Linked DNA regions of Caenorhabditis elegans. The protein of the gene in region 2 purifies or fractionates together with the protein of the main gene of each other region. This does not show direct contact. Each region holds a gene or a part of one and is shown on either strand. Other genes may lie near its edges.

Evidence for each region.
Region 1: the proteins of F42A10.6 (region 2) and asp-13 fractionate together in Caenorhabditis elegans (co-fractionation; one large-scale study listed by BioGRID). This does not show direct contact.
Region 3: the proteins of F42A10.6 (region 2) and dct-16 fractionate together in Caenorhabditis elegans (co-fractionation; one large-scale study listed by BioGRID). This does not show direct contact.
Region 4: the proteins of F42A10.6 (region 2) and cpr-9 fractionate together in Caenorhabditis elegans (co-fractionation; one large-scale study listed by BioGRID). This does not show direct contact.

The regions. Positions count from the first base shown.
Region 1 is NC_003283.11:8,640,335-8,646,868, reverse strand, and holds asp-13 (Peptidase A1 domain-containing protein), read left to right. Parts: upstream 1-3,675; 5' UTR 3,676-3,678; coding exon 3,679-3,989; intron 3,990-4,054; coding exon 4,055-4,184; intron 4,185-4,335; coding exon 4,336-4,419; intron 4,420-4,466; coding exon 4,467-4,715; intron 4,716-4,761; coding exon 4,762-4,890; intron 4,891-4,939; coding exon 4,940-5,059; intron 5,060-5,102; coding exon 5,103-5,249; 3' UTR 5,250-5,267; downstream 5,268-6,534. Other genes in the region: nssp-59 (Protein quiver), read left to right, coding at 5,525-5,750, 5,801-5,856, 5,911-6,003, 6,053-6,160; acd-4 (DEgenerin Like), read right to left, coding at 6,284-6,424, 6,472-6,534.
Region 2 is NC_003281.10:6,174,159-6,179,453, forward strand, and holds F42A10.6 (MD-2-related lipid-recognition domain-containing protein), read right to left. Parts: upstream 2,704-5,295; coding exon 2,553-2,703; intron 2,506-2,552; coding exon 2,340-2,505; intron 2,295-2,339; coding exon 2,180-2,294; intron 2,135-2,179; coding exon 2,036-2,134; 3' UTR 1,999-2,035; downstream 1-1,998. Other genes in the region: abcf-3 (ABC transporter domain-containing protein), read left to right, coding at 1-286, 426-1,012, 1,062-1,553, 1,654-1,894; F42A10.7 (MD-2-related lipid-recognition domain-containing protein), read right to left, coding at 3,857-4,067, 4,167-4,519.
Region 3 is NC_003283.11:20,496,618-20,502,409, reverse strand, and holds dct-16 (DAF-16/FOXO Controlled, germline Tumor affecting), read left to right. Parts: upstream 1-3,352; 5' UTR 3,353-3,401; coding exon 3,402-3,414; intron 3,415-4,167; coding exon 4,168-4,427; 3' UTR 4,428-4,486; downstream 4,487-5,792. Other genes in the region: dct-14 (DAF-16/FOXO Controlled, germline Tumor affecting), read left to right, coding at 1,916-1,981, 2,035-2,151, 2,205-2,357; B0250.5 (putative 3-hydroxyisobutyrate dehydrogenase, mitochondrial), read right to left, coding at 5,239-5,436.
Region 4 is NC_003283.11:12,000,497-12,006,749, reverse strand, and holds cpr-9 (Peptidase C1A papain C-terminal domain-containing protein), read right to left. Parts: upstream 3,698-6,253; 5' UTR 3,577-3,697; coding exon 3,574-3,576; intron 3,518-3,573; coding exon 3,272-3,517; intron 3,176-3,271; coding exon 2,369-3,175; 3' UTR 2,166-2,368; downstream 1-2,165. Other genes in the region: F57F5.3 (ABC transmembrane type-1 domain-containing protein), read left to right, coding at 220-290, 799-964, 1,531-1,786, 1,838-2,118; gcy-33 (guanylate cyclase), read left to right, coding at 4,974-5,045, 6,101-6,253.

The DNA.
Region 1 (6,534 bases), on a different chromosome or scaffold from region 2:
AAATGGAACTAGAACAAACCTAAGTAGAAGTTAGGTTTGTATTATAAGATGTAGAATCACTAATTTAAGTCAATTTCTTTTGTAGGTAGTATCGATGCTAAAATTATTCATAAATCTAAAATTTGGTTCTTAAATTTCATTGTAAGAAATTATATGAAGAACGTCAAAAAGTACCGGAAGGTGGTAGTGGTGGAATACTTTAAAGAGGCGGAGTCTTCGTGTTCTACTCTCAAAAACAGCCAAACGAACCCATACTGAATGTTGCACTTTTGCGCGCGAAAATGTTATGGGCGGTATCTTAGAATAAGTTTTCTTTGGTGGCTTATTGCTTGCTAATTTTTTATCTAAAATAATTTCGACGACAAGGGGACATATTCACAGAACACCATGTGAAAGGTGTGTTCGATTCAAAAAGTACAAATGGATTGCAATCGGCTCATCTCGCTTCAAATACCATAATGATGAGCGAGAAGCGATAGACTTCGGGAAATGGGGAGGTTTCGAGAAGTGAATTGGGAAAAAGCGACCACACACGTTGCCGGAAAGGATTAGAATCTAAAAACATACCCAAGTAATGTCTCGACTCGTTGCCGTCTTTTTCTTTGACTAAAAATCAGAAAATCAGAAAAATTACACATAAATGCTATTTTAATTCTTTAATTTTTAATAACATTTATAACCTCAATTCGAATCAACACGTCTAGCACAACTACAATTGTCTTCTCAAGACACTAAAACCTGCGAATAGAGCATGTGACTATGAAAAACTCTCAGAGGTTATGTTTTATATTCACTTGGTGGTACGGAAATGGAATCAGAAAGGGTGTACTTTCACAAAGTGCACAGAAATCGTGGGAATCATGTCTGAAAAGTAAAACGACGTGTAGAAGACTCAGGACATATTTCAGAATAAATGGGATGTTTGAAAATTGACATTGTTGAAATGGGGTACAGAATCTACCTGCAACAGTTCATTCCAAAAATAAATTATTTTCAGAAAAGTTCAAAAAGCTTCAAAAAACCCGTGTCCCGTTTGTCCCGTTTTCCCGTTTTTTGAGTGTTTTTACGGGAACGGGACGTCCCGTTGTCCCGTTTTTAAAATTATCACGGGAACGGGACGTCCCGCTGTCCCGTTTTTGTAATTTTTACGGGACATTGACACCCTTGAGTAGGATCAAATGAAAATTATTAGGCTGAACATTTTGAAGACGTTCTCAATTGAACCAATTGACAGAAATGCTCAAGAATCAAAAGAATATACCTTTTAAAAAAATCGGTAAATGGTCTAGTTGTTATTAATTTTATCAGATTTTTACTGTTACTTACTCACATATTTCCAAAAGTAAGGAACCTAATTTAACTAGAACTTCAGGTGGGACGGATACGGGCGCTGTCCAATCAGGGGCTCCAGTCTTTGCTCTTCTTGATTGCCGATTGGCCGATCGATTGCGAAAAAATGAAATCTAACTAGCAGCGGAATGCAAACTATCCAGTGCTTTTTTATGGTGTCAACAAAAATTTTACTGTATGATTTCACAAAGATTTGAAAGCTGGATGCTCCATAAATTTTTGCATGCCACTTTGACACCATTTAGTCATTTTTGTGCATACCTTGAAGGCTTAGCTTATTATGAGTGAACAAGCATCTTAACTATACAGGGCTACTTTCATCAAAACGTCAAATTACTCTTACGACCTTGTCATGAATTTCAGAATTCTGAAATTAATCAAAAGCCGCCGCTGTATTACGCAATTCCAAACTGTTTTCCCAGCCTTCAGAAGTATACCGTCCTGAAGTATACCCAGATCCATAAATTTTTGCATGTCACCTTGTCTTCTTTTCCCAAAAACTTAGCGGGTCGGGGGGTTAGCCACCTTCTTCACACAGGGCAACATTGTCTTTGTCTCCGAGTTGTGTACGTCCCGCGTCCTCTCGTTTTTCGCTCATTCGATTTATTGGGTAAAAGTGCGCGAAAACAGAGAGGAAATGGAGAAGGACCGAGTAGAACAAGTTGGGACAATACGGGGGAGCGACACGCGACGAAACGGTGACATTAGTGATAGATGAGTCTAGATTTGGGAATAGTGTGAGTGATGAAGAGACACAGATATATTTTATGAGAGGGAAAGTGAGGTCGAAGGTTCAAGTTTCCATGGTGCATTTGAGCATAATGGGAAAATGAGGAGAGCGGCAAGAAGTTGTGATACCCTGAAATATTGGTCATGGAGGATTAAAGGGGAGATAAGTATTGAAAAAAAACATATGGAACACTATATGTGTTCAGAAATTTTAATTTGAAAAAAACTAAATTTTAAACTAAATTTAAACTCGAACAGTTTGAGTCAACATATAGTGAATGACAAAAAAACCATTTGGAAGTGGAAAAATATTCAAGTTCAAAAAACGGAAAAGTGCATAACTTTTTTATGGGAATTTTACCTACAAGACAAAAAATCTAATTTTTCAGAATTTGGAAAACTTAAAAAACATAACCGTTATTTTTCTATCCCTACTTTAGTAGTTTAGTGTACTTCTAGGTATCTACTGATGTTCAAAAAATTATTGTAATAGTTAAAGATCTCCATTATGCAAATCACAGCTCATAGTGAAGTATAAAAAGTCATTTAATTACAGTATTCCCATTCATTGGTTAATCAATTCACTTGCTGTCAATGGGAAAACAATTTCAAAAGGTTATCACCGTTTGAATATCGAAACGATCATATTCTTTCTACACTTGTGTGACAATAAATCGTGTCAACCAGACAATGTGGAGCATTTGAGGTTGAAGTTTTGATAGGCTCGTATAAAGCTAGGGAACCTTTTCAGATATTTGTAGTTATAATATCGTTAAAGGGAATGTGCGTGGTGTTTGTAAAATCGTAATAATCACATAAATACAATCAACTCAAAATGATGAAACCAGCAAAAATAGAAACAAGAAAATGCGATTCAAGTGAATAGGGCAACATTCCTCTTCATCTCATTCTTCAACTAAATTTAATTTGGCTTCCAGTTTTTTCTCTATTCTTTTCCGTCTTCTTTCGTTCCTTTTCCAATTGCACTTTTTGTACCATAGGGACCCTCCGTCTTCGTTTTTTTCTGCAAACAAAAGCGCCACCCTAACTATCATTCCGCTTTACAAAGGAAATGAGAAGAACGAACTGGGAGAGCCCAGGGTGGCCTTCTTCTTCGTTTGGTTTTTTAAGAGTCTCGGGTCCCGAGGGTCCATTCAAAATTGAGAACATGCTGTTTTGTAGAAAACGAAAGGCGACATTCCGCAAGATTTGGGTGGTCTCCGACGAGAGACGTTTAGCCCGATTGCCTGATTTATGACCATGTGCACTTTTACAGACTTGTTTAGTGTCAATATGAAAAACGAATGTGCAAAACTGGTTGATGAAAGGCAAGCGTGAACTAGTACGTGTGAATCTGACATCTAAAGTTGAATTATAAAAAACTCGTAGGGAAAATACGGTAATCCATTTATCAGACTCAATTCAAATAAATATTCTGAAACACAGTATCAGAGTTCATAATCTGATGTTGCAATGTTATCAGTGAATTCAATTAGTTAGAATGTTTCGCCGATAACCCTATTTAGTTTTCTTTCCCATTTCAGCGGAGAATAATTATTTTTTCATTCAGTGTTTCAATTTATTTTTATTTTTCAGAAAATGGGTATTATTTCCATTATTTTCCTTCTTATTGGGTCTTCGACGGCTGCAGTCCTCGAACATCAATTAATATGGAAAGAATCTAGAATGATTGAAATGATCAGAAATGGAGAATATCCTGCCTATTTGGAGTACCGCGACCGTATGGTTGCTAGTAGATCATCTAACCTGGCTACTGTGGTTCAAAGCACAACAGATTATGTGTACTATGAGTACATGGGAAATATTACTGTTGGAACTCCTGATCAAAACTTTATTGTTGTATTAGATACCGGATCAGCCAATCTCTTAATTCCAGGAACTAATTGCACGTTAGTATTCCTGTTTTGAAATTGAATAACGTTTGTGATCACAATTTTTCGAAAGTTTTTTACAGAACGTACTGTGAGAAAAAGAGATTATTTAATGAAAAAGCTTCATCCACATATATTGCAACCAACCGCCCATGGCAGATCAAATATGCTAGCGGTGATGCCTACGGGACATTGGGAATTGACACTGTTAAGGTTATTTGATGGAAATTCTGAAATTTTACATATTTAAATGCATAAATAAATTGTAAAAAAGTATTAACAAAAATTTAATTAGGAGTAAATTCGTGTCTGGTACTGTGAATAACTTTTCTTGGAGTCATCTAGGATAAAATGGAATTTTCAGATCGGTGGATCAGGAGAAGCACAACTCGCTATTCCAAGATCATACCTTGGTGTTGCAGACACTGTCGGATCAGATTTCAAATGGGTTCGTTTTTTTCAAGTTCCTTCACTTTCACTATTTTGCATTTGCAGAGCCCAAAAGAGGGAATCTTTGGTCTTGCATTTACTGCATTAGCTGTTGACAACATTACCCCTCCAATCATCAACGCTATCAATCAAGGACTACTTGATCAGCCACTTTTCACTACATGGTTTGGTCAGAGAGGTGCTCCTGGAACTTCTGCAAGTGGTGCATTCACTTATGGAGGATTGGATAAAAACCATTGTGGGCCAGTTATTGGATATGCGGAACTAACTAATGCTAGACATTTTCAGTTCCAGGTATTTCTGGAGAGTTTTGATTTTTGTATTTTTTCTGAATTTCTAGGCAACCGGATTTTCTCTTGGCTCATATGTATCCACAACCACATATGAGGTAATCACCGATACCGCTACTTCATTTCTATGTGGACCTCAAGCTGCAATTGACAACTTGGCTAAAGCTGCAGGAGCTACTGTAAGCATGTACTTTCTGTGATTGCGTTAAAAATTACAAATTGTTTCAGTGGGACCCAACAAATCAAGTATTTAACATTCCTTGTGATGCCGACGCGGGGCCAATTAAGATGAAAATTGGCCAATTCAACTATGTTATTCGAGCAAATAACTACATTTTGAAGATTGATGTAAGTTTTGCTACATATCAAAAATTATGTGAATAATTTACAGACAAACTCCTGCCTTTTCGCTGCAATTCCACAAAACTATGCTGGTTTCGGACCTTCATGGATTCTCGGTGGACCATTCATGAGACAATATTGTAATGTACATGATATCGGACAGAAACGTGTTGGATTCTGTTTATCTCTTGCATAGACTCTTTCATAAATACATACATTCATATTCTCGTATTCTGATGTTTCTTTTGTTTTTGTGGTTCCTTGTCCTGTGATTTCTGCTATTTTCGTATTTTGTGGAAAATGAAAAGATGATGGACCATCGAAATGAGAGGAGGAAACGTAGTTTGTACACATGAATAAGTCACTTGACGCGTATCCATGGAGGTCTTTGTCTATAACGTTTTCCTTTAAATTTGGAGCGTCTCAAGTTCTTGGCTCATTCTGATTTTTTGACTCATTCACTTCCTCGAAATGCCTTCTAATTTTTACTTTTTCTTTTTCGCATTCCTAATTTTTCTTATAACTCCAACATACCCGCTCCAATGCCATCAATGCGGAGGTCAGGAAAACATGTCTAAGCTAACAAAGAAAATGTTCACTGAACTGAATATCAGCCCTGATAAGTACTACGGAGATTGTAAAGCAACGTCCGGTGCCGATGTTTGTACCAATGGAACATTTTGTATCAAAAGAGCAAGTATGATTGTTGTTTTTTTTTACGAATCACTGGTACCATTCTCTTTTTAGAAATCCACAGAGTTGGCTTCAATAGTATCAATTTCAAATGGACTTCATACACAAAGGTATCTAATTTTTTTATAAACTTGTAAAAGTATGCAACTGATCCTAACTTTCAGGGATGCGCTAGCGTTCGCGAAGACAACAATCAGACTCCATCAAACGGATGTTTTGACTTGAACCAAAAGGTCAAGAAAACTGGATATACTACTGTAAGTTGCGCTATTTTTACAGCACAGTTTTCAAACTTTATGTTTGTAGGAGCGCCTCGATTGCTATTGTGACAAAGACTTCTGCAACTCCTCGACGGCCGTTTCAATGACTTTCACCACAGTATTTGTGTTCTTCTGGTTCTACAAATCAATTTGAGAATGATGTTAGAAATATTTCTTGTTGAAAAATATTGGGAATTAGTAATTTATGTAGCTTGAGAATAATTGCTTGGGTTTCTGCTTTTCACTATAAATTCAAAATTTGAGATCAATGAATCTTTCATAGTTTTATAATAATTCCCAGATCATTATTTTCGTCTTCATCCTCTTCTTCAAAATCTTCACAACATTCCGATATTCTTGGAAGACTAATCGCGGAAGGACGTTGTAGGGGTTTTTCAAAGTCAATAGCGAGTTGAATCTAAACAAAATAAAAATTAATTAACTATTGAGCCTTTTTATATTCACCACATTGTCCAAATGGCTATCCGAAAGTTGGCTCGAGCTTCTGTACCAGTAATCTTCATCATC
Region 2 (5,295 bases):
TATCAAACTGGAAAGTGTGGATATTTCTATCGGTACGAAACAACTTCTCTCATGTGCCGATGTCACAATGGCATTTGGAAGACGATATGGATTGGTTGGAAGAAACGGAATCGGAAAAACGACGCTGCTTAAAATGATTTCAAGCCAACAGTTGAAGATCCCCGCAGGTATTTCAATGCTGTCTGTGGAACAGGAAGTGGAAGGAGATGATACACTCGTTTTGGATGCTGTTTTGATGTCAGATACGAAGAGACAAACACTTCTTGATAGGGAAAAGACGCTGCAAGTGAGATATTCAGAAAATGATATTAATATTCAATGAGAATAATATGACAAAAAAGTCTGATTTGAATTCATTCCATTCTTGAAATATATATTTTTAATTTGAACAAAAATTAATTCATTTTTCAAAATTAAAATTTCAGAGTCGTATAAACAAGGACAATATCAATGACGCCGAGAAAACCAAATGGAATGACGAGCTTTCAAAACTTTACATCGAAATGGAAGCTCTCCAACTTGACAAAGCTCCAGCACGGGCTTCTTCCCTTCTTTATGGTCTCGGTTTCACTCCAGACGAGCAGAAGCGTCCAACAAAGGAGTTCTCTGGAGGATGGCGTATGAGAGTTGCCCTTGCCAGAGCTCTATTCGTGAAGCCAGATCTCTTGTTGCTTGACGAACCGACTAACATGTTGGACATGAGAGCGGTTTACTGGTTGGAAGGACATTTGCAAGGTTGGGAAGGAACTATTTTGACGGTTTCTCACGACCGTAAATTCCTCAACGAAATTTGCACGGACATTGTTCATTTGCACACCAGACGATTGGATCACTACAAGGGTAATTACGATCAATTTGAGAAGACGATGAAGGAAAAGTTGACGCAACAGCAGAGAGAATACGAATCACAACAGCAATTGAGACAGCATACTCAAGAGTTTATTGACAAATTCAGATACAACGCTAAAAGAGCTCCAATGGTTCAATCCAGAATCAAGATGTTGGAAAAATTGTGAGTTTTTATAAAATATTGTCACTAAAAATTTTATTATGATTTTCAGGCCTGTTCTTCTTCCTGTCGAACTCGAATCAGACATTCACTTCAAATTCCCAGAATGCGAAGTTCTCAGTAATCCAGTTCTCCAACTCGATGAAGTATCCTTCCGTTATAACGAAGATTCTCCCTATCTTTTCCGAAAGCTCAATCTCGGAACTCATGCCAACTCCCGGATTTGTATTGTCGGAGAAAACGGAGCCGGTAAAACTACACTGTTGAAACTTTTGCTCGATGATCTCCAACCATCCGTTGGACTTCGAAATGTGAATCGTCGTATTCGAATTGCCTACTTCACACAGCATCACGTTGATCAATTGGATATGGAAACATCAGCTATTGAGGTGTTGATGAAGAATCATCCTGGAAAGACTCAAGAAGATTATCGAGCAGCTTTGGGAAGATTTGGATTAGCTGGTGATATGGCTTTGCAATCTGTTGAGACACTTTCTGGAGGTCAAAAGTCTCGATTGGCATTTGCTAATTTAGCCTTGATGCAGTGAGTTTTGCTTGAAAATAGCAACATTTTCAAAAAATATTCATTTTTTCCTAGAAAAAAAAATTTATTCAAACTCCGTCTAATTCATAGTATTTTTCAGGCCAAACTACTTGATTCTTGACGAGCCTACTAATCACTTGGATGTCGAAACGGTTGAAGCTCTTGGAAAAGCGCTTAATGTTTTCAATGGAGGTGTCGTTTTAGTTTCTCACGACGAGCAACTCATCGAGCTTGTGTGCAAGGAACTTTGGGTTGTGAAGGATCGAATGGTGACAACTTTGGAGGGAGGACTCGAAGAATACAGAAAGCAAGTCTACAAGCAGCTTCAACTCACTGCCTAAATTTTTCCTGTTTTGTTTCGCATTCGGTTGTTTCCCATATTTCACCCAGTTTCCACGTTTTGTTACACTATTTAAGAATTCAATTTATAATTTTTGTTGAGAAAAAAGTTTATTGCTTTATTAAATTGTTCACTTCAAAATTTAAGTATGAGTGAGAGCTCTAGCCTGGAAAATAATGCAAAGGTCTTCCTTGCTCGGGTCATCATGAAGAAGATACTCGAGTTGGTAAGGCTTATCGTTCTGAAATTGGGGGTTTAACTTTCGAAGAATACACATCAAAATAACCTTGAGAAGATTGATGATAGCTGGAGTATCAGAGAAGTCGAGTTCCAAATTGATGACCTTGTTTTTCGGTTCAATTGGGCATGGTACTCCGTTGGTACAAGCATCGATGTTGTTCCTGGAAAAGGTTACTGTAGGTTACTGTAAGAAGCAAAAATCTTACAAAAGTCCAAAAGTTGGTACTGAAGACCATCCACAAGTAGCCATATTCCATGACCAGACCTTGATAGTTTGTTTAAGTCCAGGAGTAGTATAAGTTGAGGATGGATCATTGATGGATGTTGCAATGAGAAGTGGTTCAGTAAGACGGATTGGATATTCACTGTTACCTGGATTCAATTATACATTCGTAGAAACTATCAGAAAACTTGCGAACCACTCTTATCAGTTGGATTAACATTGGTCACCATAACTGGTCCATTTGAGCATTGCCACCAGTTGACCTTTGTCTCTGTAGTATTCGGCCATTGATCGCATGCCGACGAGAGAGCAAGTAGGGCGAAGAGACACAGACAACGAGCAAGCATCTGGAATTGAAGTAGAATTTTTCGTTTCGAAAGCTAGTGGATGTGATCTAAGTTGGAATAAAATAGTGAATCTGTAATTGGTTAACTGGGAAATTTGAGAAAATGGAAAACTAAATTGCAAAATGATCATCAAATTCGATAGGAAAAACTACGATAAGAGAAATATCAAAGCACATGGCAATTTGAAGAAACCACGCGTTTTAATAGTTTTTTGCATGTAATTGTGATTCTAGAATAAAAAAGAGGTCACAGAGAACCGGAAATATCCACAGGAAGTACTCATTTTCATTGAAAAAATTTCATATGTATATTGAGTATTCCTGAGAAATGCACCTTTCGAAGTCTCGCCACGATTGAAAATTTTGCTCACTCGTGCTATGCGCCTTTAAAACTTGGGTACCATACATTTTTATTTTTCATTACTTTGTTCAGCAACTTTAGCTTTATCAGCGTCTTAATATTACGTAGACGTCAGAAGATGAGAGTTTCCGTCATAATTTACGCAAATGGGTCTCGCCACGCGGAAAGCGGGTTACTGTAACACGTGTCAATATGAAGGCCGCTACTGCACCATGTTTTTCTAATACAATGAATAACTGATTCCAAGCTTTTTAAAATAAAATTATGATACAATGGAGGCCTAAGAAATTGACGCGTGGTAAAGTAACTCGTTGTACTCATAAGATATGAAGAAAATTTTCATTTTTGACGTCTATGCGATTTTTATATTCTTCTTCTATTTTGATCATTAAATCCGATGAATTGAAGGAAAGACAAAGTTTTAAAAAACCTGTGCAAGCACGTATTCTTCATACTTCCAACTTTAGGTACTTATTGAAATTTCTCAGTTTTCAAACTATAACTGAATCGGGAAATTATTAATAATTTCTGATTCCTTGTTTACTTGTTTGATTTTTGGTTCATTGCCAAAATGGCAAATATGCAACATTTTCCAGTGCGAATAGTTCTTTTTTATCAAAATGTTATCGCAACTTTAGTTCGATTTCGGAAATTTTTCCTTCAAATTGATAATGAACAAAAACCAACAAAAAGTCAAGATTATGTACATTTTATTGTTGTTAAAATATACGCCCGTGTTATAGTGCAAATATAATTAGAAATCTTAAAGCCAATCGCCAAATGGGAAAGCATTTTACTTAAGGAAGGCCCAAGCCTGGACCATCATGCATGAGGTGTCTCCGGATTGGTTGTCGTGAAGGATGTACTCGAGTTGATATGGCTGATTGTCCTTGAGTAAGGCGATGATTTGGTCGAACTTGGTGAAGTCAATGATGACGTCAAGTTCTTGGTTTCCTGGACGGACTGGGCATGGGACTCCGTTTGCGCAGGCGTCAAGGTCCTTCCTGGAAGATGAATCGTTATTTATTATTTAGAAGTCGAGAATAGCCTAAACAGTTCACCCATTCTAATCCATTAGAATTAACTTAAAGATATAAACTTACAAAAGACCGAGAGTTGGGATTGAGCTCCATGTGCATCCGTTCCATCCTCCATACTTCCAGATATTGACGGTGTTACGAAGATTTGGCGACACATATGTGCTCGTTGGGTTATTGATTTGAGTCTTGACAACAATTGGCTGACTCAAATGAATTGGGTACTCGTATTGTTTTCCGGTAGAGTCGTATGGAGTAGCATTCAAAAATTGAACTGGTCCAGATGAGCACTGCCACCAGTGCATCACTTTGTCGGTTCCATTTGGTGCAGCACAGTCTGCCAAGTTGTCGACAACTGGGAGAACAAAAGAAGTGGCAGCGATGCAAAGAACTGAGAGAATGACACACCTGAGAAGCATTGTGAGAGGCTGAAAGTTCAAGAATTCATTGAAAAAAATGACAGTTTTGAATGGTGAAATGGTGATAAGTAGTGATGATAAGGGAGTAGAATGCAAGTAGAATAACTTTGGGGAACTGGTTATTAAGAAGCGTAGGATCAGGCTCGGACTTCTGTTTAGACTCGAGCCCAAGTTAAAATGAATCTTGGTGTACATCATGACGATCTGCCTACAGCGTGAGTTCGGCTAAACTGTATTTTTCTACTGAAACGAATAAATGGTGAAATTATAAAACCGTTCGTGGCCTTAAATAACCAAAAGCGGAGTTTTTTCCCTACTATAGTCTAACAGAAAATCAGAAATATGACCTTCCACTCCTTCCCAAGCTCCTCATTTATACGTTTCAATTAATCTCCACCCCCTTCAAACATCCCGGGGCTCTTTCCTTATCAGACATCAACCCATTTTCTCTATTATGCTTGCTCTTCGGTATGTCCGCGACGTTATCAAAAACTTTTCTCTTTTTTTTTCTGAAACTCCCCTGTGCTTTCTCTAATTACTCCACTTCCTTTGCTCTCCAAATATACTCTATAATCAATTGACGTCGATGGAAAACTTGTTGCAAACACGTGCTGAAAATGACAATTTTGGGGCAGAGGGCGAACCGAACTCGATTTTTATTTTTTGGACACTGAAGTGGTAGCAAGAATGTGGTTTGAAAAGTTGTCCGGTTTAGAAAAAATGATAACGAATTTCGTAGAAGATTTGGGAGGATTAAAAAGTTTAATTTCCGCAAT
Region 3 (5,792 bases), on a different chromosome or scaffold from region 2:
TCAAGCAATTGTTTTCCAACATCTAGTAGCTCATATCCATGAATATATATTTTGGAAAACACAATTTTCCTAGAACAAATTCAACAAGTATTAGCATCAAATTTTTTAATAGTATGTAGAGTTAGAGGCCAGTGACGATTATGTTAAAAACACTCAAATTTTTAGATTTTCAAATTTTCATAGTCAGTGAAAACTTACTACATAGTTAGGTGAGGTTAGGTGAAGTGATGTTACTGCTTACAGTTAACGTGTCAAAACTTTGAAAAGTTTCACACATGTTAACATGTTTTCATTCTCTACACCTGTTTAAATTTAACGTTGTGAGTTGATCAGGTGCACCGGTTTCCCGAAAAACTTCACCGCAACCCAATACATTTCAACGATGACTGACGCGTACCAAGGTGGAAAAGAATCTAAAAAATATACAATTTACTATATCATTGATGGTTCCATAAAGGTTAGTTGGAACCATTTTTTCACTTTGATAATTTGATTTTTAGGCTTGCCTCGCAATTCTTCTTCCCATCCTCACAGCTCTACTAGTTGGACAGCTGAGAAAAATGATCGCTCTGCGGAAAAAAACGTCTTCGTTGAGAAATGATAATGGAAGGCAGGTTTTTCAAAATTAGGCCTTGCTTTCTTTAAGAACAATTTTCAGTCAATCTTCGGATTAAATCACGAAGCTTGTAATTCTGATGGCAATTTCATTTATCACTGCTGAATTGCCAATTGGGATTCTTTATATCTCCACAGGGTTGCTCGCTAGTCATCCGGCAATTGTGTAAGAGAATATAATAATAGTCATTAAACGGGCGGAGTCTAATGGAATTTGCCTACAAGTTGGTCAAACTTCGCGCTAAATTTTTTGGCCAAAATCTTCTAATAAATAAAAGGCAAACATCAAAAATTGTTTGAAAATTTAAACAAGTCGAGATAATATTTTCGGCGTTTCAAAATTTCATCAAGCATTCAATTTTGTTTGAAATTTTTGGTTAAATTTCAGGCAAAAAGTTAAAGAAATTTCTAGTTTAATAATGAAATGTTGAGAATTTTTTGTAAATTTTCTAAATTGAAACAAAAATCCAAAAACTTTACACACAAATTTATAGGACGAGAATAAAGTTCAACAACTGAGATTAAAGTTCTAAAATTTCCAAACAAAATATATATTTTCAATTCAAAATAGAAATATGGAATTATTTTTAAAAAACTGCAGTTTTCTAATTTCAATTTTTAAACTTTTTTTTCTTAAAACTTCAGCAAAAATTAAATCAAGTTTCAAGTATTTTCTGTAAATTTCAATTTATCACTTCTTATTAGAATATTAGATTATCCTTTTGGTAATTTTTTTTAATATAATGGTATTGCTTCATCAAAATTTATTTTTCAGAACTACCATACGCTATTTGATGGATATTTTCACGTCATTTGTTGCCATTAACGCCACCGTTCATTTCTTAATTTGCCTCGGCGTAAACGCTCATTATCGAGACACTGTTAAAGAGCTATTCCGCTGGAAATTTGAAAAATTGAGGAAAACTTCAGATGACTCAACTATGAATTCTCAGAGTGTTGGCCAACCTAGAATTGTCGCTTGATCAATTTTTTTTCAAATTTTTCTACTTTCCAATTTTTATTTTGAACCCCGTGTCCTCTTATTATTTTTGAAATTTAATTCCGCATCCCATCAAGATTACCCTCCGACCAGAACCTCGTCAGACCCCCACCCACACCAGCGCACGTGATAATTAATCATAGTATACCTATACTTGTTGACTATATCCCCCTTAATTCCCATGAGAAGCATCTCATGTGTCTTAATTGAGGGGTACACAGCGAGTTGTAAAGAGGTTGTCCTTAACAACCAAATTTCTGAATCTTTTGCAAACTCATTGCTTTGAATTTCACAACTAAAATGAACCCCGATGCTCCGAGTGTCGAGGAGAAGCTCACCGTCGATGAGTGCTACGTTATTTCCAAGGTGAGCTGAGATTTATGCTAACAAAAAAGCTCGAGTGTTTTTCTTATTTTCAGGAAGATTGGTTTGAGCCAATTTTCTGTAAGCCGAAGCTTATCCCGTTGAAGACTGTGAAAATGCGAGAGATCGAGAAACGACGCAATGAAAACATGGAGAGGGTCAAGGCGATAGAGGTGAGTTTTTTTTTGAGAAACATATAATTTACTTATTTACATTCTTTTTTCAGACAGCTTCAACGTCAGAACAAAAGAACCCAGAGGTGGTACCCAAGGAGCCAAAACCAGAAAAGCCTCGGAACCCGGAAGAGCTCAAGAAACAGAATGAGTTGAACAAGATCGATTTGTGGATCGCCGACGAAGATCCGGCACGTCGCAAGTGACTATTGTCTACTTGTAAACAATAATCCTAACAATCCTATTTTTAACTCCAAACTTTTCGCGATTTCAATTTTCAAAAAACATTCCAGACAACCTCTAAACCTACATGATCATCCTAGTACTTCTTGGCCCAAGCGCTATGTCCAAAAAGTCAGGTCTACCCTATGTACTGCCGTGTAGTCAAACAAGCTTCACCATCATGCCATTCACCTTCTTCCCATCATTTCTCCTGCCCTCTTATCTCTAAAAATTGTGATTTCTGATTATTTCAATAAATAATAAATATGTTTTGCGTTGAAATTCTGGTCATTGAGATTTTTTAGGTGGTCTGTAATCATGGGCTCTTAAAACTTTGATACACCTGAGCTTAGGCCAAAGCTAATCCTTAAAAAAAAGCTAAGCCTAAACGCTAAACCGAAGCTATTGGGATTATTCATGTGATGCCAAAAAATGCACAAATGATTTTTATACAGTTTTACCCTATCCCTAAAAACGAAGGCATTTTTTTTAATTTTTCAACATTTTTCGACATTTATCTACATCGGCCGACAGCCCGCTTCACATGAAAAATGTAGAAAAATGTAGAAAAATGCAAAAAAAGCATGTGTTTTTTTTACATTTTTCTACACACATGAATAGATAGGGGAAAAATGTAAAAAATACATTTTTGCATTTATCGTCATCTCATGAATAACCCTATAAAGCCTAAGCCTGGGCCATAGTTTTTCTGGAAAATATCAGACATTAATCTCTATTTGCCACATGGATTCCAGCAAGTTTCCACGTTAAAATCTTCGCGAGCCGTCATATCACTAAAATTCCTTATCTACATAGTGTTCTTGACACATCATTAAATTAGTTGCTCGCGGAGCAACAACTGCAAAAACGGTCTTCGTTCGGAACACGTAAGCATGCAAACACGCGCTGGAAGAGCAAAGTGCATGCGGTCACAAACATTTTTTCTCGGTATAAAATGCCAAGCGGGGTGCCACATTTCGGCATAGGCATCAATTTTCACTGCTGCTGCTGCTGAATCAACACTAAAAATGGCCGAGAAACGTGAGTTTTTGGATGTATGCTTATTTTTTCAAGAATTCATGTTTTTTGTTCAATTTGAAAAAAATTTAACAATAAGACCGAAAATGGCGAAAAATTGAAATTTTCAATTTTTGTTGATTTTTCGGCAGAAAAAAGTATGTAATTCTTTAGCAAGTTATTGTTTTGATTTTTTACATGTAATTGTACAATAACCTCATATTCCAGATATTATAGGATACAACACCAAAAAATGATTTAATTTTTTACATTTTTAGATGTCAGGCTGTCCCATTTTGGTGAGATCTACAAAAAAAGCGGGAATTTAGACGCAGACTTCTCAACTGATTTTACATGGTTAAGAACATGCTGACACGTCACATATTTTTGGAAAAAAATTCCCGCATTTTCTGTAGATCAAACAGTAATGGGCAGTCTGACACCACACGCTTCCAATAAAAAAAGTTTATTAAAAATATCGGAAACTACCCGAACATACAACCAACTTGAAAAGTACAGCACACACGTGGTGTCAGGCTGTCCCATTACGGTTTGATCTACAAAAAATGCGGGATTTTTTAACCCAAACAAATGTGACGTCAGCACGTTCTTAACCATGCAAAATCAGTTAAGAAGTCTGCATCTCAATTCCCGCCATTTTCGAAGATCTAAGTAGATCAAACCACGCAAATTACCTAATAAAAATCCAAAAATTGAAAATTTTCGGATTTTTTGTAGGTCTCCTAATACCCTACTAATATGTAAAAAAAATTTCAGTCGCAAAAGCCAAGGAGGAGATGACAGCCGCCGGTCTCTCGCCAGAATCCATCGAGGGAATTCTCAAAATCGCCGCCACTTACAAGAAGAAGGACGATGAGCCAGAACGTGATGCTGCCACTTCTTTGGCAATTATCACAAAAATGATCGGAGAGACCAATGAGTATATTAAGGGACAATCGGAAGCCGATCAGAAGATCTACGCTGTCATTATTGAGAAGAAGAAGGCCGAGCTTATCGAGGCCGCCAAGAAGCAATAGATTTTCTTTTTGTTTTGAAATTTTATTCTATTATGAGCTTGTAATAAAATAATTTTTGTAATTTTAAACTTGTAATGGTCACATACTTTTGGGAAAAAAATTCCCGCATTTTCTGTAGATCAAACAGTAATGACACCACGTATTTCTAATGAAAAAGTTCCTTTAAAATTTCGGAAACTGCCCGAACCTACTTGACCTACTTGAAAAGTAATGTACATACATGGTGGCTGTCCCATTACGGTTTGATCTACAAAAAATGCGGGATTTTTTTGCCCAAAAAGTGCACGCTTTTATCCATGCGAAGTCAATTGAGAAATCTGCATCTCAATTCCCGCATTTTTCGAAGATCGAAGTAGATCGAACCACGCAAATTTAATTCAATTATGAGCTTGTAATAAATAATTTTTTTGTAATTTTGAACTTGTAATGGTCTTTCCAAGTGATTTTTCATGGAAAATATATTCTTGTAAATTTTTTAAAAATCTCTATTTTTTCTTATAAAATCAGCTTTTTTTTCGATAAATTTTTGTGACAAAAATTGATTTTTTAAGATTAATTTTTCGATTAAAACCCTGAAAATTTTAAATTTTTTTTCGAATTTTTTCGATTCGATTTTTTCCCAGACAGTTTTTCGAATTTAAACAAAAAATTCATAAATTTCTATTTTTTTCTACATAAAAAACACAATTTGGCACATAGAAAAAAGGCGGAAAAATCACATAAAATATGCTTAAAAATTGGAAAAATCCTGAAAATACGGGGCTTCAAATCACATAAAATATGCTTTAAAAATTTCAGAAAAAACCGAAAATTATGAGTTTTGTTTCTTCAAAAACTGATAGACGACACCGAAATCCTTTGCCTGGTACTGTGGATCACGAGCCAGAATACGGTAGATTTGATGAGCCAGTGAGCCCATTGGAGTTGGTGCTTGAGTATTTGTTGAAGCATTTTGAGCCAATGAAAGGTCTTTTGCCATTAGAGTCGTTCCGAAGCCGCCAGCATAACCCTGAAATTGGAAATTTTAGGTTGATCGGCGGAATTTAGGAGACTTTCATTGAAATTTTTGAATGAAATTTCTGGCAAATCGGCGAATTGGCACATTGCCGGAATTGAAAATTTCCGGCACACCGGCAAACCGGCAATTTGCCGAAAATGAAAATTTCCGGCAAATCGGCGAAACGGCAAGTTGCCGGAATTAAAAATTTCCGGCAAATCGGCAAACCGGCAAGTTGCCGAAATTGAAAATTTCCGGCAAATCGGCAAATTGAAGGAATTGAACGTTTCCGGCAACTCGACAAACCGGCAAGATGCCGATTTGCAAAAATGTTCCAGATATTCGATTTTTTTTTTGAAAATTTCAAC
Region 4 (6,253 bases), on a different chromosome or scaffold from region 2:
TCTCGAACCTTTTCATCTAACGTCTCTCTATTTGATTTCATTTCACTTCCGACCCAATTCCAAATTTCTTGACAGTAGAGTCATAAATGCTTTATTGCGTGTTGTCCCACAAAGATCTTTTTCCATTTGTACCATTCTTGAATCACTTTTCTTCAGAAACTTCCAACAGTGTGACAGAGATCAGTGCTTCTAATTGGTCAGCATTGATGCAGTCTGTAAATGGAAGAGGAACTTTATAATGGTTTTTATCCGAACAGGCAAATTTATTACTCGACTGCATATCCCTACAGGTAATTGAATTGAAAAATGGTGGTCTTTTGTAGACTTGGAATTATTTTTAAAGATACATTTATTAATGTTTTGCAGTAGATGAGGATTTCTTAAAAATTTATTATACAACAGAAATACTGTGAATTTTTTTCCATTTCCAGATCATTTCGCATAAATGAGCTCTTATCTTAAAGTTGTAGAAGTGAATTAAAAAAAAAAAACACAATATGTCGTATGTATAAATTTTTTTTTCTAAATTTCTTCAACTTAATTCTAACTAGATACTTATCTTCACAACCTAAATTAATACCGTATGCCAATATTTCAACTTTGTTCATTTATTCCGCCAAAGCGCTAATCTGTTCCCAAGACGTCAACCCTAATTTCAATATTCAAGGCCACCCCACATTTTCCCCTACAGGGCATAACTTACTAAAGAATTTACAATTTACCGCGCAAAACTCAAACAAAACAAACGAGTAGTTGACACCAAAATTATCCTCGAGGACATCTTTTCATTGTTTTCAGAAGTCCGTTCGCGTTGAATCGCCCGTATTTGGAAGATGACTACACCGACTACTATCGAGATTATTTAACCAAGACAAATAGCAATTTTGCGATCAGGGACTATGAACGCAAAATTCGAGTTTTTGATTCTTCTATTTATTATATTCGTGTACTCTCTTATGCTCAAGTAAGTTTCAAGACGTGTTCATTACTTCCTAGTGTGCTCTCTTGAAAATCTTTTAATCCAGTTTTTATATATGCAACATCACATGGAAAAAACCTTATCTCAGAAGAAATTTAGACTGATCTAGACATTATGTGATGTAGATTTACAATAAAAATACATGTAGTCTTGAGCTTCATCTACGCTTTTAAAAATGTACTTTCCAGAATTTAACGTTTAATGAGCTATGTTGCTTAAAACGTTTAAAACTTTGGAGTGCGTTCTCATAGGCACAAAAAAGCAGACGTAACTAGTTTCGAATGTTACCTACATACATACATACAATTAAAGAAAGATATGTACATATATGTTTGAGTTTTCTTGGGAAAATAGGAGTAGATTGTATTTAGAAATGTTGAAGCCAGCATTGAAGGAACGCAAATAGGCATAGCCTTTGTGGCATTTTTGAGTCTACCACCAGGCAGTGTACCTGTATCCCAGAGTTCATAGCACTTGAAGAACGGATCGTCCTTTAATCCTTTAAAAACAAAAAATATATAAATTAATACCTAAAAAGTGTATTTTTTCAGATTTTTTTAGCCGGTATTCTCCTGGTGACTGATGTTTCCAAAAACGTACTTCTTTGGAATTACATACAAATGAATGGCGTCAAAATTGAAATGCTCGCTCATGTCATATTTCCCATATTTGCTCTGATCGTCGGTTTTATATGTCTGACAGCTATTCTCAATCCATCAAAGGCATTGTCTAAATGTGTTGCCATTCTGCTGCTTGTCATTATTGTGCCAAATTTTATATTCCCAAAATATTCAGTTTTTATGAAAAGTGAGTTTTAGTTTGAAAAGTTTAAAATTTAAAAAAATCACATTATTTCAGCAGCAATAGAATCAGTGGAAATAAGTCAAGTAATGGATCGAAGTCTTTTTGGAAATGATATTGATATGATAAAATCAGAAACTCATAATCGAATGTCAAAGATTTTAATGTTATCAACAAATCATTGGCCATTGGGAGTATCTGATTTAACAAGTCTTCCAACTGATTTTGTTCTTATGATGCAGTATCTACTTATTGCATATTCTGTATTTTCATTATCCCTTTTTATTTTTTATGTCATTACTTTGTTTTGTTTTGTTCGTTTACTATCTGTTCAATGAACATATATTTTTCATACAATTTTTTGGGAGTACAAGTTCTGTGCATTATATTATAATAACCCTTTTCAAACAATTTGAATTTTGGAACAAAAGAAACAGAATTCGAATTAATCTTGACAAAAAAATATGTAATTCAAGTTTGTATGCAAATGTTAACAGAAAATATAAGAATAATTCAAATATTTATAAATCGAATACATATTGTACAATAGGCATTGAAGTTGCAATCACAAACACAATGTTTCGAGATTTACAATTTTGGAATTCCTCCGACGACTCCTCCCTCAATTCCGCACTCGTTAACTCCACGAATGATACGGAAATATCCGTTCTCTCCCCAATCCTCATTCCATGAGTTGGCACAGAGCCAATATGGTGTTCCATTATCAACTCCCCATCCGAGCATCTTTACGGCATGTCCTCCAAGACTGGCTCCAGCGGTATGAACGTAGACTCCTCCGGAGTAATGCTCAAAATCTTCGTAGACAGTGAATGCAACCTCAACTGGACCATGAGTCATGATTTCCTTTTGGATTTCAGCAGCCTTCTTTGAGACGGCGTATGCAGATTGTCCGAAGTGAAGATCTTGTTGGTAGGTGAGAGCATATCCAGCTTGGCAAGAGCGTTCGCATTTGTCAGTTGGGTACATGTTGGATGGGCATGGCTTGTAATGAGTTCCATTGACGTGATGTTCACATGGTGGATATGGGTATGGCTTGCATCCAGTCTTATCTTGATAAGATCCTCCGGTAACGTATCCCTTCTTAACATAGTGACGCCAGGCTTCAATTGGATATCCACCATTGCATCCATTTCCACAGACCATTCCACAGCAAGCATTGATATCGTCAGCAGAGATGGAAAGGATAGTTTTGGCATTTGACGCAATGCAAATACGATCAGAAATAGTTTCAGCAGCAGAGACAGCCCAGCACGATCCACAGGATGATTGATCACGGATCTTGGAGATGGATGGGCAGTTTGGCCATGCGGTACGGGAATCGAATGAGTCTGGAACAGCAGCATCCTCGACTTCTGGATGAGTCATCTCGAAAACCTGGAAACAATTTCATTAGGATAAATTAGTTTGAAAGAAATCTGTATTTTTTGGGAAGCGTTTTTCAAAATCTTTAAAATATTCAAATTTACTAACTCTGTACTCTTCTGGGATCTCGACCATCTTAGCTCCCATCAATTGCTTCTTAATGGTATCTGGGTAAGAGCTGAAGTATGATCCGAGCTCAGCCTTGAAGGAAGTCTGAACCTTGTTGACGTAATCAACAAGTTCCTGTCCACGAAGCATTTGAGCTTCAACTGGAATGGCATCTCCGTGCTTAACCTCAACATTGTAGGCGTTGACGGCGACAAGGCCGACAAGAAGAGCAGCAATTGCAGTTTTCTGAAATTGAAAAGTTTTTGAAACTGAAGTTAAACTTCAGGAAAATTAAGCCTTACCATTTTTCGATTGGCTGGAGAATTGGGAAATTCGACAGTCGACCAATTTATCAAGCGCTTACCAGGGGTTTTATAGTTTTTTCGTTTCAAGCGACTGATAACTTTTGAAGTTTGGCGTTTTCTCGAATATTGCTGATAAGAATTAGGCATTTCGCTACTAGCTCCGGTTTCATTTCGAAGTGAAAGGCCTGATTAGACACGTGCATGTTTGCGGGAGAATTCAAATTATTTGCTTAAACTTGGACTTTGAAAGCGAAAATTTGCAGGGTTAACGAGTTGTAGAGGTGATTAAAGAATATTATATTTTGTGCTCTCATAGTGTTATGCCTTTAAATATAATCCCTAGTAATAGACTGTTCCAATAATTCTTCGAACATTTTAATAGGTGTATTTTCGTACTATCCTGGTCATATCAACTTTCCAGCAGTACAATTTTAAACTGAAAATAGTTTCCTTACAATTATCAGCTCGTTTTTTCGGTTCCCGAAAAAAACATCCGTGTTTTAAGATAATGTGACGTCACACGCGACCATAATGCGAGATTGCATGGCATTGACGATCTGGATTAAAGTACATACCAGTCTATCAATTTTGTTTTAATTAATGTTTGATATTTAATTTAAAAACAAACATTCAAACAGATTTTGCTAGTTTGGCTCTGGTGTGTTAGCTGTTATACTAACTAGAATACATCGAGCTATTAACTTTGACCTGCTTAACTTGTCATATGACATGTTTATCATAAAGATGCATGTACGTCAATGTTTAGGTTATCACTATTCTTATCACAGGTTCGTAGAAGATCGATTCCAACTCCCACAAATCAAACAGACTACATTTCACTACAAAACACGAAATAGGGGCTACAAATGTCGTTTAAACTACTTTAGACACCTCAAATAAAACAAAAATAATCTGCCCCATGCCAGGCTCGAACTGGCGACCTTGGCATAACCTATAGACTATAAGTACCACGCGCTAACCGACTGCGCCAATGGGGCACGGCCCTAACGCATGAGAATTAGCCTTGACAAGTATACTGCTCTCCTCGGTCTCCTAGACTCTCTCCGTCTATGCTGTGTCTCTGTGGAGGGGTAAGGGATACACACATGAACCACTGTGTTGTGCGGTCTCTTGACCATTGCCTTACATAGAGGAAAAGGTGGGAGACCTAAAGAGCAACGAGCGGGGAGAGACGCAGACATTTGTATTTCAAGGGAAAGGGGGAGAGGTGAGCTAATGGATATTACGAATCGAAGATGAGATTATTAAAATAGGGGGCAACAGTGTACAGCTAACGGAAACTGGCACGGAAGTTGGAAGATGTTGGTAGTGGAAACACCTTATTCAGATTTTAGTCAGCATTTTCAAACATCTTCTAGCAGAAATCAACCCGCAAAATGTACGGATTGGTCATTGAAGGTGTTCGGTTTATGATACAGGAAAACTGGGGACCCCAAGTTCTTCTGCAGGTTTGACTTTTTCTAATTTTTAAATACCAACTTGAATGATCTTTCAAATTCCAAATGAAAGTTGAAAACATTTAACTTTTTAATGACTCCGTATCAATTATATATTGATGTGTAGGTGAGTAGCTATGCAGCCAATATAAAAAAGGCGCCCATTCAAATATTAAGCTTTAAACTTTATGACGTCATTAACCGGAAAAGACTTCTAGAACATTGCGATTTTTTCTCGATTTTTTTTCTAATTCGACGTAAAAATTATCTTTTAAAGAAAATTTATCTTTACATGTTCATAAGACCAAAAATATCAGAAAAAATTGTTATAAAACTTCCAAACTTTTGAGACAGCTGGCTAGCCAGTCTTTCGAAGCAACAATTTTAAAAAACAATTATGCCTAAATCAAAGAAACTTCAAAACTAAAAAATCATAATTTTAAATAACATACTTTTCGTTTCACAAGTTTGTTGAAATGAGTTTGATTTTCAAAGAAAAAACGAGACGTGATAAAATAGTAAAATTTGGCAGATTCTCTATATTAGTCATCACATTGAAAACGAATCTCGTGGCGAGACCCGCTTCGATAGAAAATAAAATTCCCCTTTAACTGTGTTGAAACTCTTTGTGTCGGATGAATTCGAGTGCAACAAAGAAATGCCAGCTGGTAATATTCATACTGTTTAGAGACTAGCCTTGCGCATCTATGTATATTATAATATTTTATCTGTCAAATGATTATGAAATTGCAAAAAAAAATTGTTATTTAACTCTTTCGCAAGTCTTGAATTATATATGGATCTTAATATATCTGTTGCACAATGACCGATTTGGCTATTGAATTAGCCAAATAACTTGAAAATTCAACAAAAATATTAGGTTTCAAAATACAATATGGCATGCCATTTTAATAGAGAAAATACGGCAATTATGTATAATTTCATATGAGGAAGTTTTTATATAGTAAATAGCAACAACTGGTTTCAAAAAAAAATGTTTTGCTGGTAATGAAAAATTTCAGAAAATTTATCTATCTAATAGTAGGTATTCTTTTTTATATTTTCAGGTTCAAAAGCTGACATCACTGTCAGAAAAGTCAGTATCAACTCATGATCAATATTCGGAACACGTTGTTCCTCAAATGTTCAAAGCAATTCATGAAATCACTGGAACACCATATGAACAAATTGGAGTTCTCGCTGGAAGATTTTTCGTTCAA